Linked DNA regions of Schizosaccharomyces pombe. Changing the gene in region 1 together with any one later gene gives a genetic interaction. Each region holds a gene or a part of one and is shown in the gene's direction. Other genes may lie near its edges.

Region 1 (6,331 bases):
TAAAGGTTTACTTGAACTTCAAGTTTTCTTGTGTGCGTGTGAACTGATGAAACCTGGCGTCTTGCTATTAATTTTTGCAATGAAAAGATTTTTGTTTCATTTTTGCTATGTAGAGATTGGCTATATATGGCTAGATCATAATTTTTGCAGAAAATTGGGCTTTAGGATTGTTTAATCCAACAAAAAATATCAATCTTTTATAGCGGCTCAAGTGTTCTTGTTATCTTTATGAGATACGCTTTTGTTATTTAGAAACGTGTATAGGTCTCTAGTTTTTCTTTTCTTTTCTAGTGTAAGAAATGGGTAATGGAGGATTCACGAATACATTACAATAAGACTATATTAGTAAAATAGAATACAGTTAAGTGGAAAAGATTACAGAAGAAACCAAGTCATTAGTAGTTCGTTGAAGATATCGCAATGTAGTTTGAAACCTAATATCTGCTTCTTTACGTGTTCTAATTACTTTAATATTAATTAATAAAACAAATTGTATTGCTTTTTTTTATGAATAAGGACAATTAGTGCTAAACATTAAGTATACAACCAAAATTTTTACGTAAACTGACAAAATTTACAAACAATTTAAGTAGAGTGTTATGAACGAGCATATGCCTTTTTTCTACTTTATGGCATTTGTTTCTCTGCTAACCCGAGTTTCTAAAAAAAAAAACGAAAGCCGATGATCACGGTGAATCAAATGACTAAACGCCTTGGCCGGTAAATATGTAAATCTCCGTAGCAACCTTTACGCCTTGACAATCGTTAGTTTGCAGAGTTGAAGAAAAGTCGATATGTTTAGGTCAATAGCTACCGAGTCTACTTTTCTACGCTACAGCGGCATTGAAGTTAGCAGAAGACTCAATTTTGCAGGAGACTATTTAGCTATCTGATCAGTCAGTGTAATAATTAGAGAGCGCTTTCGCTCACCCTTCTTGGCGGCCACCATAAAGCGACTCACAGCGAAATTGTGTATAGAGATTAAGCAACAGCGGAATATTTTGATAAATACAAATTAGATAGTCAATGAATTACTAAGCTGAATAGAATGAAAAAGAAAGAAAAATCCAAAGTGAAAATTGACAGTTACTGAGCTTGTCTACGCCCCCTAAATTTCACGCGGAAAATATTCCTCTACCGTGCAAGGCGGAGACTTTTGAACAATGTGTTAGCTTAGGATTTAAGTCACATCTTAGCAAAGCGTTCAGGGAAGAAGACATACGGTCAAAGTTATCATTTTTGTGTGATTTTCATTATTTATTGTTGCACGAGATAATTTAAATTTTCATGCAGAAGATTTATTTTTTTTTTTGGAATTTATTCTGCTCGGCCAACATTCTTGATTATTCTTGTTTACATTTTTTTATGAGCGGCTTATCGTTAGATATCACTTGTCACTTGGCACTACATGCTTTTTTCTATGAATTATTCCTTTGATATCGACTAATCATCTGAAATAGCGAGGCGAGATTTCGACAGAAGCTTTACCCCCATAAAAATTTTCGTTGTGTTTATACAAAGTGGAAGATGATTACATGTCTGCATTTGTATCAAGTTAGTCTAACTATTTGCTTGAGTCCCACGCTGCTTAGCACACAATCACATACGTACGTGGGCGAAATTGTGTGAAACTCTCGGGGAGCCACTTCGGCTGCTTATTTATTTACTTTTATTTACAACGCGGCGTTGATGGAAAAATTCTAAAACAGTGTGTGAAAACTTGGTTTGCGCGTGCTTGTTAGTGGGCCATTCTAATATATGTCTATACTGGCATATATTTACTTTATTTTACCACTATTACTATTTAACTCATTGCCGCAATCCATACAAGTGCATTCTTTTTTGTTTGTTTTCGTTGCCATGCTCGTTGTCAAGTGTTTACATTCGATTGTGCACTCGCGCTCTGTCGTTGAAGGAACATCCAGAATTAATGTTACCTTGGGCGGCATATTCACATGTTGGTGTACGCTGGATAATCGTTAATGGCATGTAGCTTGTTTCTCTCTATAAGCACGCAGTAATATTAGTGCAGTAACGAAAAGCCGTTAACGTGCTCACTACCAAATACTCAACCACACGAATAGCCGCTGGCTATATCTAATATTCTTTCTCTTTTCATTTCTTTTTTCTCAAAAACATATTTCTTTCTCTACCATTTGCATTTATATGAGTGTATTACTTTGAAGCTTTGATTTTTTTTGTTTCGCGGTATACTTATTGATTATTCGCTAATACTGGTACTTGTTTCTCTTATTTTTTTTCTGTTTCTCCTTTATTTGCTTTTTAAGCAACCTTTTAAATCTACCTGTGAAATAAATATCATCGCCTTTTTTCATTTTCTTTTTTCATTTCCACATTCTTTTCTCTTCTTACTCCTCTGTGATACTATATTTTGGGTCGTTAGAACGCATTGACTTCAATCTACTTTCTCTTCCCTGCATTTTTACCAAGCCTTCCGAATATATTTATTCCAGTTTTTCTATATTCTTTTTTTTTATTTTTTTTACTTCCATTGTACTCCTCATAATCATTATTATCTTGGAAATTTAACTTTCCCTTTTCATTTTTTTCTTCTCTAAAACTCCTTCTTTCACTGTCGACCATACTGTTGACTTTTCTCCTCTTCTTTTATAAGATAAAATACACTTCTACGCGTCTTTAGAATTCTTTGATTGATTATTCTTTCGTACTACTTTGAATTGTATACTTTGCTTTTTTGGTCATACTCTTGTTCATTTCACTTTGTTTTATTCTCCATCAATTTCTTGGAGTAAGTCTAATACTCTTGTTCGGTATCTTTACTTAGTAAGCTTAATTTTTTAAAAAATTAAAAAAAAAAAAATTTTTACCATTGTTAGGCTCATATTCCTTTCCACATCATTCAAGATTTTGTTGAGGTTGTTGTGATCTGCTTGTTTCATTCGCATTTTTTCCTTCCATTTATTCGCTTTGCCTACGTGCCTCTCAGTCTAAGTTTCCTTATTCAGTTTGGGAATTACGAGTTTTCTTATTTTTAGAATTAAAAAATACGTTGGACGTTGACAGTTTTCTTTTGGCTAAGATTTTCCGTTGCTATTAATTATTGTCTTTCTCGTCTAATTGAGTTTTTTAAACAGACTTGTTGTTAGCTTTAAGCGATATTGTTTAACTATTCATTTATTACCCGCTTGGATTTTTATCGTTAAACGCATCATAAGTTGCCTCCTAAGTTCGTGAGCTTTATTGGTCCGATTTTGGTTTTCGATATATTTCAAAGTGATATAAATTGTAAGATATACCCCTTTATTATTTGTTACCAAACGTCACTCTCGTTGATTTCTTTATTTTACATTTCTTCCTTTGTCAATCAAGCAGCTGTGCTCTTAGTATAATTCTTTCTTTAACAGTTATTGATTTCGGTCATTATGTCTTCTAGCAGTCCCTCTAGTCAGTCCCGTCTTTCTGTCCCTGGAAGAACTCCACATTTACCACCACTTACTATCCCTCATACTGTAAGTGCTGAAGGTCTCGCTACACCAAACACACCGCATGCTCTACTCCCTACCGGGCTTCTTATGGGGAGTCCTTTTGTTCAAAGCCCAACGAGCTATACTTCCATGCATGGCTTGCCCTTTAGCACTACCCAAATGGCAGCGGCTCCCGCTCATCCCACGACTGGCTATAATGTTTCACGTGTTACCAGTCCTAATGTTGCTAACTTTGCCCCGGGTTACTTTCCACTTCCGAATAACACTACACAACCTGTTAAAACTGTGTATGTTGGTAACCTTCCTCCCAATACCCCTATTGATGAGATTCTTTCTTGCGTGCGTACGGGACCAATTGAATCTGCATGGATTCTACCTGAGAAAAATTGTGCCTTTATTTCCTTTTTGGATCCGAGCCACGCTACTGCCTTTTTCCAAGATGCTGCCTTGAAGAGATTGACAATTCGGGGTACTGAAGTAAAAGTTGGTTGGGGCAAGAACTCAGCCTCGAATTCATCTGTACTACTTGCAGTCCAGCAATCTGGCGCTTGTAGGAATGTATTCCTCGGCAACTTGCCGAATGGTATTACTGAAGATGAAATTCGTGAAGATTTAGAACCATTTGGACCTATTGATCAAATCAAAATCGTAACTGAACGAAATATAGCTTTTGTTCATTTTTTGAACATTGCAGCTGCAATCAAAGCTGTCCAAGAGCTACCATTAAACCCCAAATGGTCCAAACGGCGCATTTACTACGGACGGGATAGATGCGCTGTGGGTTTGAAGCAACCTGCTTACTTTTCTAAAGGCCAAGTCGGCGTTGTTGGCGGTTATCCCGTAATGGGGTATCCTCCCCCAAGCCCGGTTCTCCAAAAACCGGATCTTATCATGACTGGGAATCGCACTGTTTACATTGGTAATATCCATGCTGATACTACTATTGAAGAGATATGTAACGCTGTTCGTGGAGGATTGTTACACAATATTCGTTATCTTCAGGAAAAACACATTTGTTTCGTAACTTTTGTTGACCCTGTTTCTGCTTTTCGATTCTTTGAAATGTCCAACATTCATGGTTTGGTCATTCGCAACCGTCGTTTAAAGATAGGTTGGGGTAAGCATAGCGGCCCTCTTCCCTCAAATATCGCTTTAGCCGTTGCTGGTGGTGCTAGTCGTAACATTTATATTGGCAATGCTGATGATTCTTTGACTATTGAACGCTTAAAAGAGGATTTTGAGGAATTTGGCGAAATTGAGTACGTCAACTTTTTCCGCGAAAAGAATTGCGCTTTTGTTAACTTTACGTCGTTGGCAAGTGCGATTAATGCGATTGATCGAATCAAGCAGAAGAAGGGATATGAAAACTATCGAATTAGTTATGGTAAAGATAGGTGTGGTAATCCACCTAGAACTAATTCCAAGTCAGACGTTCTTTCTGTCTCTTCTGATATGAGCATGCCTGTTGATCTCGTTGTTCCTCAGCAAGGAATATCCGGGTTTATGCCAACAAACTCCAATATTTAAATATTGTAGAGTGTTTTGCTCTTAAACGTGTTCGATATTTTTATGGATAAAGGTTTTCCAGCGCTTTGAGTTCATATCAATTTGTGCTCATAAAACACCTTTTATTGACGAACTTTTTTATTGCTTATTTTACAAAATCACTTTCTTTTTTACATTAGATTATTAAGGGTAACCATTTGCATTCGCATTACAAAAGAAAAAGTATTCTTTTGTTTAAATGACCTTACTTGCTATTGTTTCAACATTCCTTCGTTTTACTTTCTCTCGTTTATGCCCCTTACTCAACGTGGCCCATACTCTTTTCTTCTTACTTTGTTTCATTTTTACGCATTATAAAACCTTCATTGTTGAAGTAGCAGTTTTTTTTTGTTTTATTTGGCATTTTTTCTACTATGTTAGAGGTTATCGAGTTTGTATTTCTATCAAAAGCTCGATGTCCTTCGTTTTTGATTCGTTTTTGCAAACAATATTGACGAATCTTTCCACATTTTCAATTACAGTTTTAAAATGTACTTCTGACTTCTATTTTTATTTTTTTTTTCATTCTACATATTCTTATATATTTATGTTTCGATTTTCAACGTTATTTCTTTATCAAAAGTGATTGCTGAAGACTTCAACGGTGTTGATTAATACTTAACAATAGCTTTAATTTGATTGTCTGGTCATATTTAAATGCTAGTTTGTTAATTATGGTTTATTTGTCGCGTTCTAAATGCGTTTTTCAACCCATTATTGTCTACTAGTTCCAAACCGAAATTGTTCTAATGATCTTATGTATATATTTTTGGTCTAGGTAAATATACATCTCTTCTTTTGCTCATCCTACACCGTCGTTGAGAGATTGTACAAAGTTCGGTAATTAATGAATGCAAACATAACAAAACTCTACCGTAGTAATGAGTTTTGAAAAGGCATCAGTATTTGAGTCTCTATTTATATTGTGCGTTTGGTGCTGTAAATGTTTTCCTCATTTATTAGAACAGCTGAACATTGTAGCACAATCTAAAAACAGTTTATTCAGTTTCATTGTATAATGCAACTTAAACAAGTATCTAATTTACACTATTTGTAAAATGAAAGAAAGACAACGCATCTACCACTCTAACTTACGAGATCCATCCATAAACATATCAAGGGTCGCCTCATCAACTTTCGAACGTGCTGCTTGAAAGTCAGAAACGAACTGCTGTAAAAGCTTAATACACTCTCCTTTCATTTCTCCGGTTGAAAGAGTACCAGCCTTATAGGTATTGTACAATTGTTTCAACTTCTCGTCGTCATCTAGGAAAAAAGAAAGATATTGATATGCAACATCAACGTCTGGGTTACCTCCT
Region 2 (5,555 bases), 810 kb from region 1:
CGTTTTCGTTGAACCAGCGCAGTACAGAAATACAGAAAGAATTGGGAAGTACAATAACAGCTGGGATGTGGGATGTGGGATTTAATGGTAGGCAGGATAGGGTAAGCAATGCTGGGACAAAGAGAAAGAGGTGAGGGGGGTGAAAAAGTTTTGTGAAAGAAAGGATTGTTTATGCTACGGTTGGAGAAGAGAGGCGAGGGGAAGTGAGGATGGCTTGGATGTAGTAAGGATAATAGGAAATTAGAAATAAAAAAAAAAAAAAATTTGGATATGATACATAAATGGTAAAAAATAAATAATAAATTAATAATCATAAATTAAAGAAAGAAAAAAAAAAGTAAAGAAAGCAACGGTGAAAGTAGTTGAGGAAACTCAAAGAAAACAAAATAAACCATAAGAAGAGGAAAAGTGTTCAATCGTAATAAGAAAAAAAGAAATCAAAATATATTTAATGAAATTATAATAGCAATAAAATAAAGATTATACTAAATTCATGAATGATAATAAATAATAAACAGAAAAATTTAAAGGGCAAAAAAGTAAATTATAAAAATTAAATTAATTATAAGGTAAAATAATTTAAAAATTTTAAAGTACAATAATAAAAATTCGAAATATTTGTTTATTCAATAAACTAATGGAGAGATTTTCCATATTCAAAGTTTTGTTTCATTACTAATTTATAAAATGATACTTTTACTTTTGATTTATTTTATAAATTTTATTTTTTGCTTTTGATTTAATGTATTAATTTTATTTTACTTTTATTTTTTCACTCTTCAAATTCTTAACCATTCGCGTCTTTTCATCGCATCGCCCATCATATTTCCTGCCCAACAACTGTATTCATCAATAATATCGCTACTTTCATCCTACATCTTTGCCTTCGCAAGTTGCGCAAGCTTGCTCGCCATTTCGAGTGCTGATGGAATCAGCGATATCGATGGAGTTAGCGATGCCATCACAGAAATTGCAATTTTACACATCACAAAGTAAAACAATTAGCAATTCTTTCAAAATATCCATCCACTCCGCTTAAAGAAATCATTTCATCTTCATACCACCCCATTATCCCACCTTCTCTGATGGATAGTGGAATCCGCCTTGAATGTCTCTCTCTCTTACTATTACTTGCTTGGCATCTGAGCTGAGCCAATCCAATGTCGCTTAAAGCAGCCCAAAACTTGGGTAACATAGCGAAGAAACGCAAAGAAAAAAAAATTTCTTATGAGGAATCAGAATCTATCGGAGCCATGAATCATGGACACCACTTTCATATTTTTGGAACAAAGCAAGAAAACCTCTAGAATAGATTGGAAGCAAATTGATCCAACTACCACATGTCCTTCATATCCCCCCCCAAACATCATTCATCTATCCCTATGAGCCTCCTTCCTCAAATCCTTTTCCGCATTGCCTTCCCCTTCGCTATACCTAGACATTACAGAATTTATCCATCCCAATCTTCCGCCCCCTCCCAATTTTCAACTGCTAAACCTTGCTCTGATCCAATTTTTCCATTGTTGAGGCCTTTCTGGATGCAGCTTTCCAAACCTTTCAACGTCCCGGCTTGACTTAACTTCCACGTCTTATCATTCACAAAATCGGCAGTCCAAGACGCCAACTTTACCGACGCGTTTTACCCCATTGAAATTATGGATGTTTGCTTTACGCAGTGGTGTGAAATCACGGTGGACTAACGTTTGATGTGCAAAGGATCTCGTTGTTGCAGATAGTGTTACCTGCCACTCTCGGTAACAAATGTGGTTGACAAGCCGCGACTGATGTTTATCTCATATAATCATAGATCTGCCACAATCACCTTTTTTTTCCATTCTTTGCATATATAACATCAGTCATCTCTCCTAAGAAGAGCCGGTCGTCCCTCTGCTAAGCAACCATACAAAACATAACGTTCATCCTTTCTTTTTTGTTACATTCGTCTTCCTTTCTTCAGCCTAGATAGAATTGGTTTGGTGTTTGTGCTATTCTCAATTTTCCTCGTTTTGGATTGTGTTTTTCTTGTTTTGTTTGGGAATCATCATTCATCCATTAACATCTTCTTTACTTTTTTTTTTCATCGTTCATCGAATCCTACTTCCTCTTGACACATAATTAGTCTGCTGGTTTCTTTCTTCCTTCCTTTAAACATTTTGTGAAGAATCTCGTAACCTACCATTCGGTGCTGCTGTATTATAAATCTAATCTATTTGATTCGCTACGGATCTTTCTCACCTTAGACCTTTACTACCTGAAGGGTTCTTTTCTTCTTCTTTAATTCTTTGTCACGATATATTATAACTTTTCATTTTCTTTTTATTTTATTTTATTCTATTTGCTTGTCTGGGTTTAGGTGCTTTGTGTTCTCTTTCTTCTATTCTTTTTTTCATTGTTCCAACTACTCTGCTGACTGCAATATCACGCCTCTTTGAATTCTCGGGAAAAGGCTTATCTACTTTTCCTTTGTTTCATTCGTCTGCTGTCGCCCTGTAGCTTTAACGTTTTCTAACTCCGTCGCTGGTTTCGTCGATTAACTTTGGGTTTCGCATACGGTTTCGTGTAATTTCAAACATTTATTTATTATTTATTTATCTATCTGTCGGTCTGTTTTCTTTGCTTATTTTCCGCATTCATCTTAGCTTATATTTCAATCGTTGAATCCCATCCCTTGCTTCATTCGTTTTTCTCTTCTGCCAACAAATTCTTCTAGAGATTGCATCTTTTATCGTCGTTAAGGAGATTGGTTAAGTAGTTTCCCTCTCATTTTTTCAATCTCTCCTTTCTAGCTTATTTTGGGTTTTTACACAGTTCAAGTTTTCCTTTTATCTGCCTGGTCCCCAAAATCTCGGTTTTGCTTTATTTTCTTTCTTCAAATTCGACTTTGTGCGCTTGAAGATTCGATTTCAAGCAATCATTATTATTTCTTACACTCTTTCTTTGGATGACTATTTTCGCCAACACATCTATCTCTTCATTTTTGCAACTTTTTAGGCTTACTAAGCTTCTTTTTCTTGTATAATAATATTAACTGATTTTGGGTACGTGTCTTCAACATGGCATACCTTTAGAGATTTCTGTTTTTTTCCAGTTAGGAGCACTGTTTAGTCAATCTACTCGTTCTCCTCATTGTGTTCGTCTTCCAATTTTTGTCATCCATTTTTACTTTTCTACTAAATTTTCGTCGAAAGCTTTCATTGTTAGCTTTTTTCCCTTTCATAAACTCGTATTTTCTTCTCTTTGAGAAAAAGCTTGCTAAAAGTTTTCATTTTTCTCCAACAGCTGCTTAAAATTTCATCTTAGATATTTCTCTACACGATGTCGAAAGTTAACATGCGAGCTTTGCTCGAGTCCTTTAGTACCGTGATTCTTTCTATCTACCCCTTGGCTAAAAGTACAAATCAACAATCACATTCGCACTCCCTTTCACTTACTCAGTTTTTGTATGAAACGATTCGCAGAAGTCGTGTCGATTACACTACGTTGCTTCTTGCTTTATATTACTTCATCCGTTTTCGTGATGCTGCTTCTTCTAAGCCTACTAACTACATTCCTCTGTTATGTGGGCGTCGTCTTTTCTTAGTCTGCTTGATGGCCGCTACAAAATTTTTACAGGATCGTAGTTTTAGCAATCGTGCTTGGTCTCGCCTATCAGGACTTCCAGTTGACAAATTACTTGTTTTGGAATATATGTTTTACCAATGCATCGATTATCGTCTTGTCGTTCCTAAACATATTTTTGCTAGATGGTCTCTTTTAGTTGGTGAATGTTGTGCTCACGCGACTGCACGTTATGATTCCACCGATCCTAATGTTGCCTCATTTGGCAGCGTCGCACAATATTGGGTCTCTTTGTTTTCTAATGTTCAATCTTCTCTAGATGATCTTTTTTCCATTGCCTGTTTAACGAAGATAGCACATCGCAGAATGAATGCTAATGCTGCTTTGAAGAATCAGGCTACGAGGAAGCCCTCCTCTTCTCCTCAAACAACTCAAGACTCATCACCTATTCTTACGATGGCACCTTCTACTCCAGTATCTGTTGGCAGTACCCCTCCATCCACTCCATCTGTTTTACCCATTGCCAAACAACTGGCTCCTATGAATGTCTGTAAAGCACATATTCAGGCTTCAAATCAGTCCCGCACTTTGACTACTGCTTCGCCACCCGAACAAATACCGCTTATGGAACCGCAAGTTTATGTAAATCCTCAAGTATTACCGGGTCGGTTGTCAAGCCTTTCTAAGCCAGTTAGTCTACCACCAACTCCTTCTTCACCAAAGGTTGGAGTATATCGGCCAATGACTTCTAAGTCCAATGGAGGTGTTGCTTACTGCTATAATGCTCAAAAATTGAACAATGCTACTGGTCCAGTTACATTTAATATGCCTTTTGCAAGCGTCTTACCACTTGCCGTATCTGTGAGTTGTGATCTGGGTACAGCGTCTGCATATGTCGCGTCCCTCCCTCAACCTTGTTCTCAAAAAAGGCATTTAGAAGAAGACTACTCATGTTTAACGGAACACAGTGCTAAGCGTCGCAGTTACTTTTAATTATCAAGCCCAATCTGCGCTGTCTTCGCCGCTTCTTTCAAAAACTATAATATTTAATGAATAATTTCATAATACTGATGCCATTTTAACAGCGGATGTCAATAAATACCGATAATGTTTTCTTTCTATTGATTTATCTATTCAAATTGTGTGGAAGATAATCATGATATGGGAAACTTGATTAGGTTTATATTACTACCTTCTTTTCATATCTAGACTTGTCAATGTTTTGATTAAAAATCAAATATTGTTGTCGTTTCTATGAATCTTTTTTTAACATTCTAATAGCAAAACGATGTATATATGGTATGAATGAATTAACGATTGGCAACTATATTTACTTATGCATCTTGTAAATTGATATCAGTAGAGCAAGGTATTCAAAAAAGATAATTTTGTTGATTTCTTATGGCCATAAACTTGTCAAATAGTCAAACTATTTAGAGATTATGTATGTGCTCATTAAGATAGTTATATATTTTAGGCAGGTGAATGTAGCCATTTGAAATCTACTACTGAGCTCCAATCCTATTTGAAGGCTCTAAGAGTCCTTTCAATCATTTTTTAACAGAGTTGTCTAAGTAATATTTTTTCAACGATTAAACTGTGAAACATTGAACTAAAATATCTTGATCATTTACAAAAGCAGTAATTGCTACACCGTACTACTAGTAGAGCCAATTTTGATTACGGTCTTTAAAACAATGTTGAATACACTAATTGTAAGCGATTTTTGTAAAAACTAATAATTATACGTATCTTCTTGAACATCACGAAAATTAACTGATATTTCCCTAAAGTACAGTTGCAAGTAGGAAGGATTAAGACAAAACAACAAATTATATACTAAAAATTTTACAAATGTTAAAATCAATTTCACATATATATTTTGTTGTAATTAAATGCACTCAAATACTATAGCTTACAAGTTTAGGGAGCATTACGGAGAACATCCCACATATGCTGTTCTATGAATGGGGTTTGGATTTGGCCATCACCACTTC
Region 3 (4,429 bases), on another chromosome or scaffold:
TGTAAACGTCAGCTTTTTGAGTGGCTACGGCAGCAATAGCAAATCGTTGAAGCTCACCACCAGAAAGATGGCCAACCTCACGATTTAAAAGATTTTGAAGATCGGTGTGATCCATAACTTCTTCAAAATTATTGTTGTTTGCACGAGCTTTAATTAAACCAGATACAGTTTTGTCACCAGTTTTAATCGCCCGTGGGATATGATCAACGTATTGAGGTTTGATAAGAGCCTTAATGTTATCTTCAACAACTTTGGTGAAAAAGTTTTGAAGTTCACTACCACGGAAGTATTTGACAACTTCAGCCCAGTCAGGAGGATTATCATAACGACCTAAATTAGGCTTCATTTTTCCGGATAGGATCTTTAACGCAGTAGACTTTCCAATACCGTTAGTACCAACTAAGCCCAAAACTTGACCAGGACGAGGAGTAGGCAAACGATGAAGCTTGAAAGAATTAGCAGAGTAACGATGGGTTACTTCACTTTCCAAGTTAGTGGGCAAATTAATAATGTTGATAGCTCCGAATGGACATTTTTTGACACAGATACCACAACCAATACATAATGTTTCACTAATAAATGCAATGCGATCGGTAGGATTAACTTCAATACACAATTTACCGGTGCGCACGACAGGGCAAGACCGGCGGCATTCTTGCCGACATTTCTAAAATATTGGTGAGCAAACTAATAAAAACCAAACATTCTAAAACCAGAAGCATTAAAAGCAAAGGAAAGTTTCGTAAGCAAGCAATAAAACGTATTTTAACGTGACACAGACCACTTTGAAAGTTTATTTAAATTTTCGGTCCTTTACCTTACAAGAACCTTTAGATTCGTTTAACCAACATATGGTGACAGCCAAGCCAAGCAAAAATTTACTACTAGTCCGAAAGTGCTTGGCAGATCGTAACAGGATCAAAAAATCTGAACAGAGGTACAATCAGGGCAGTTAAAATATGTTTTAATACTTGAACAAACAAAATTTGACTCAACTCTTTTCGTGGAAAACTTTGTGCACACACAAAAAAGCTCCAGTCATCCACAACGAGTAGACTATAACCTTCTACTAATAAAGCTCCTTTAATTTTTTTATTTTCTTACCTTTGGTCTACACTTATCCTCACTAACAATGGCGATTCTAGTAAGACTTTCGCTCATGGTGTTGAGTAGGGTGCAGTTGGCAAAGGACAACTTAAGGTGCGCCCAATTTTTTGCTTGTACTACCAGTCAACCTACTACAGTTTATAAAAATGCTACATTACATTTCGAATAAAATAAATAAAAAAGATAAATTCAAGTTTCTGAGACTGTAGAAAGATGTATTTTCTTAAATCGTCATTACGAAAATTTTTTATTGCCAATACGGACCTAGCGCTAAGTCATTGCCCATTTAATTGCAGACCAAATAATTGGTCAAAGATATGAAAGTTTGGAAGAGCCAGTTTTTGCAATTAAAAAACATAAGAATGAAGAAAAGAAAAACATCCTTCAATCTGCATAAATACTTATAAGATGCACATTGCATTAGCACACTCAATGCCCAAGTCCAGCCAATATCTAAGGGGACAGCTGGGTTTATTATATATTCAAGCTTCTTTAAATATCTACTAAATTTGCAGTATATAGTTCATCAATCGTAAACATAATTGTAAAAATAAATTGACAGTCAAAGACCCTTCTACTTTTACTTCAAATTGAAAATACAGCGATTTATCAAAATACGAAATACACTTTTTCGTGCTTTCCTTATTTTTTTAATTCATTACAGTCTAGCACTATAAAAAATTTAACATACTATTACCCCTGCTTTTAAATAACAATTGCGCAGAACAATTTGTCTCTACCAGATATCACTATTCTAAAATTGCTCAAGAAATTGAAAAAATGGCGCTACCATCCTGATAAGCAGTCACAACTATAATCAGCATATAAGGCTAAAGAATAACCTTACTTGCTTTACGAAACCTTGAGAGCTTCTTTTGACGAAATTCGCAAGCATATCTACATTTATTAGATTCATTGATAAAGAAGGGTTTTCATTGTTTCCTTATATTTGACGAAACTAATCGCTTGTCTTATTGTTCAATCTTTTCTAGTTTTTTGATTCCATATTTCCTTTACAAGTATCTTGGATTCCCCAATGGCTCAAACTTTTTTGTTTACTTCTGAATCTGTCGGTGAAGGTCATCCTGACAAAATTTGCGACCAAATATCTGACGCTATTTTGGATGCTTGTTTGAAGGATGACCCCTTTTCCAAGGTAGCATGTGAGACCGCTTCCAAAACCGGTATGGTAATGGTTTTTGGTGAAATTACTACTCGCTCACAAATTGACTACCAAAAGGTTATTCGTAATACCATTAAGAGCATCGGTTATGATGACTCTGAGAAGGGTTTCGATTACAAGACTTGCAACGTCCTCGTCGCCATCGAGCAACAATCTCCTGATATCGCTCAAGGTCTTCACTATGAGAAGGCTTTGGAAGAGCTCGGTGCTGGTGACCAGGGTATTATGTTTGGCTATGCAACTGATGAGACCCCCGAGAAGTTACCTTTGACCATTCTCCTTGCTCACAAACTCAATGCTGCCATGTCTGTCGCTCGTCGTGATGGATCTCTTCCATGGTTGCGTCCTGATACCAAGACTCAAGTCACTATTGAATATGAAGAGGAAAACGGTGCTGTCATCCCCCGTCGTGTAGATACCATCGTCGTCTCTGCTCAACACGCTGATAGCATCTCTACTGAAGACTTGCGTTCTGAAATTTTGGAGAAGATCATTAAGCCTACTGTCCCTGCTCATTTGTTAGATGAGAAGACTGTTTACCACATCCAACCTTCTGGTCGTTTCGTTGTTGGTGGTCCTCAAGGTGATGCTGGTCTCACTGGTCGTAAGATTATTGTTGATACCTATGGTGGCTGGGGTGCTCACGGTGGTGGTGCCTTCTCTGGTAAAGACTACTCCAAGGTCGATCGTTCTGCCGCCTATGCTGCTCGTTGGATTGCCAAATCTTTGGTTGCTGCTGGTTTGGCTCGCCGCTGCCTTGTCCAACTCTCCTATGCTATTGGTGTTGCTGAGCCCCTTTCTATTTTTGTCAATACTTACGGCACTTCTTCCAAGACATCTGCTGAGCTTGTTGAAATTATCCGCAAGAACTTTGACCTTCGTCCTGGTGTTTTGGTCAAAAGCCTTAAGCTTCAAACTCCTTTCTATCTTTCCACCGCTTCTTACGGTCACTTCACTGATCAATCCAAGCCTTGGGAACAACCTAAGGAGCTTAAGTTTTAGACAGATAGCTTAGTGCTATCATTAGCTTTTCTCGTTTGTTACGTTAAATACGATTAGAACATGTAACGAATTCTCAGTTGATGGCTTTATGGATACATGGTTTTCTTTAAAGATGAAAAGATTTTAGAGTTGTCTTTATTTATTCTATGTTTGCTTCTTTGTTCTTCAATTGTGAAAGATATATGGTTTTATATGTTAAGTCCTGGTTCAACGGATATGTATTTTTTTTTGGACTGGGTAGGCACAAATTCAACCTTTGTGTTTATGACTGCATCTCGAAGCGGAAAATACACTAAGCCAAAAATTTTTTTGCATACCGACATGTTAATGTTTCTTTTACCGATAGGCTTAGTGTTATTTGATGCTTTTCACGATAGTTATTATTTGCTGACTTTCAACTAGTTGGCCACTTTCGTTTAAATTGAGTTAATTATATGTTAATGGATTTGGTTCAAGACATAGTGTTTTAATCGTATAAGAACGAGTACTCATCTTCACTGTAGCTAATTTAGCTCGCTCACTTGTAACAAGGTGCATGCACACACAATACAAGCGTTTTGATTTTATTGTAATTTGTAATGAATTGAAAATGTCAAACTTAAAAAGGTAGACAATCATTCAGCTTTCAAGATGATCTGTGATAGTAAATGTCATTGGATTAAAACACATTGCTTGCTTACATTATTGTATTTATGGAATAAGCGATGGATTCTCAGCGATCCTAAAAGTACTTAGAATTATATTGGTCTTTTTTTTTGTAGTATAAATATTCAAAAATTCTTCACTAGATGTCTACGGCCATACCTAGGCGAAAACACCAGTTCCCGTCCGATCACTGCAGTTAAGCGTCTGAGGGCCTCGTTAGTACTATGGTTGGAGACAACATGGGAATCCGGGGTTTTGTAGGTTCCTTCTTTATTATTGCTGTTTGGTTTTTACCTTCTCTTTTGGAGCATATTTTGAGTACTGAATTGTGAATCTCAAATTCTATAGATGTTGCTACTCGTTGATTAAGCAATGCTAGAGCAGACTTTGAACTCTCAAATCAAATAATTAAGAAGTTTATGAAAGAAGGCTCTTGTCTTTGTCATGGGTATCGTCAAGCAAAATTCGATGTCTACATCAGATATTGTATAG

Evidence for each region.
Region 2: of nrd1 (region 1) and pas1, changing one enhances a phenotype caused by changing the other (phenotypic enhancement), as found in Schizosaccharomyces pombe (one study listed by BioGRID).
Region 3: of nrd1 (region 1) and sam1, extra expression of one rescues a mutant of the other (dosage rescue), as found in Schizosaccharomyces pombe (one study listed by BioGRID).

What each region holds. Positions count from the first base shown.
Region 1 is NC_003424.3:553,227-559,557, forward strand, and holds nrd1 (RNA-binding protein Nrd1), read left to right. Parts: upstream 1-2,059; 5' UTR 2,060-3,404; coding exon 3,405-4,994; 3' UTR 4,995-5,825; downstream 5,826-6,331. Other genes in the region: tryptophan-tRNA ligase Wrs1, read right to left, coding at 6,091-6,331.
Region 2 is NC_003424.3:1,359,256-1,364,810, forward strand, and holds pas1 (cyclin Pas1), read left to right. Parts: upstream 1-1,877; 5' UTR 1,878-3,315; coding exon 3,316-4,551; 3' UTR 4,552-4,919; downstream 4,920-5,555.
Region 3 is NC_003423.3:4,161,391-4,165,819, reverse strand, and holds sam1 (S-adenosylmethionine synthetase), read left to right. Parts: upstream 1-1,961; 5' UTR 1,962-2,143; coding exon 2,144-3,292; 3' UTR 3,293-3,751; downstream 3,752-4,429. Other genes in the region: Fe-sulfur ATPase Rli1, read right to left, coding at 1-667, 1,105-1,161. UniProt on the Schizosaccharomyces pombe protein: Catalyzes the formation of S-adenosylmethionine from methionine and ATP. The reaction comprises two steps that are both catalyzed by the same enzyme: formation of S-adenosylmethionine (AdoMet) and triphosphate, and subsequent hydrolysis of the triphosphate.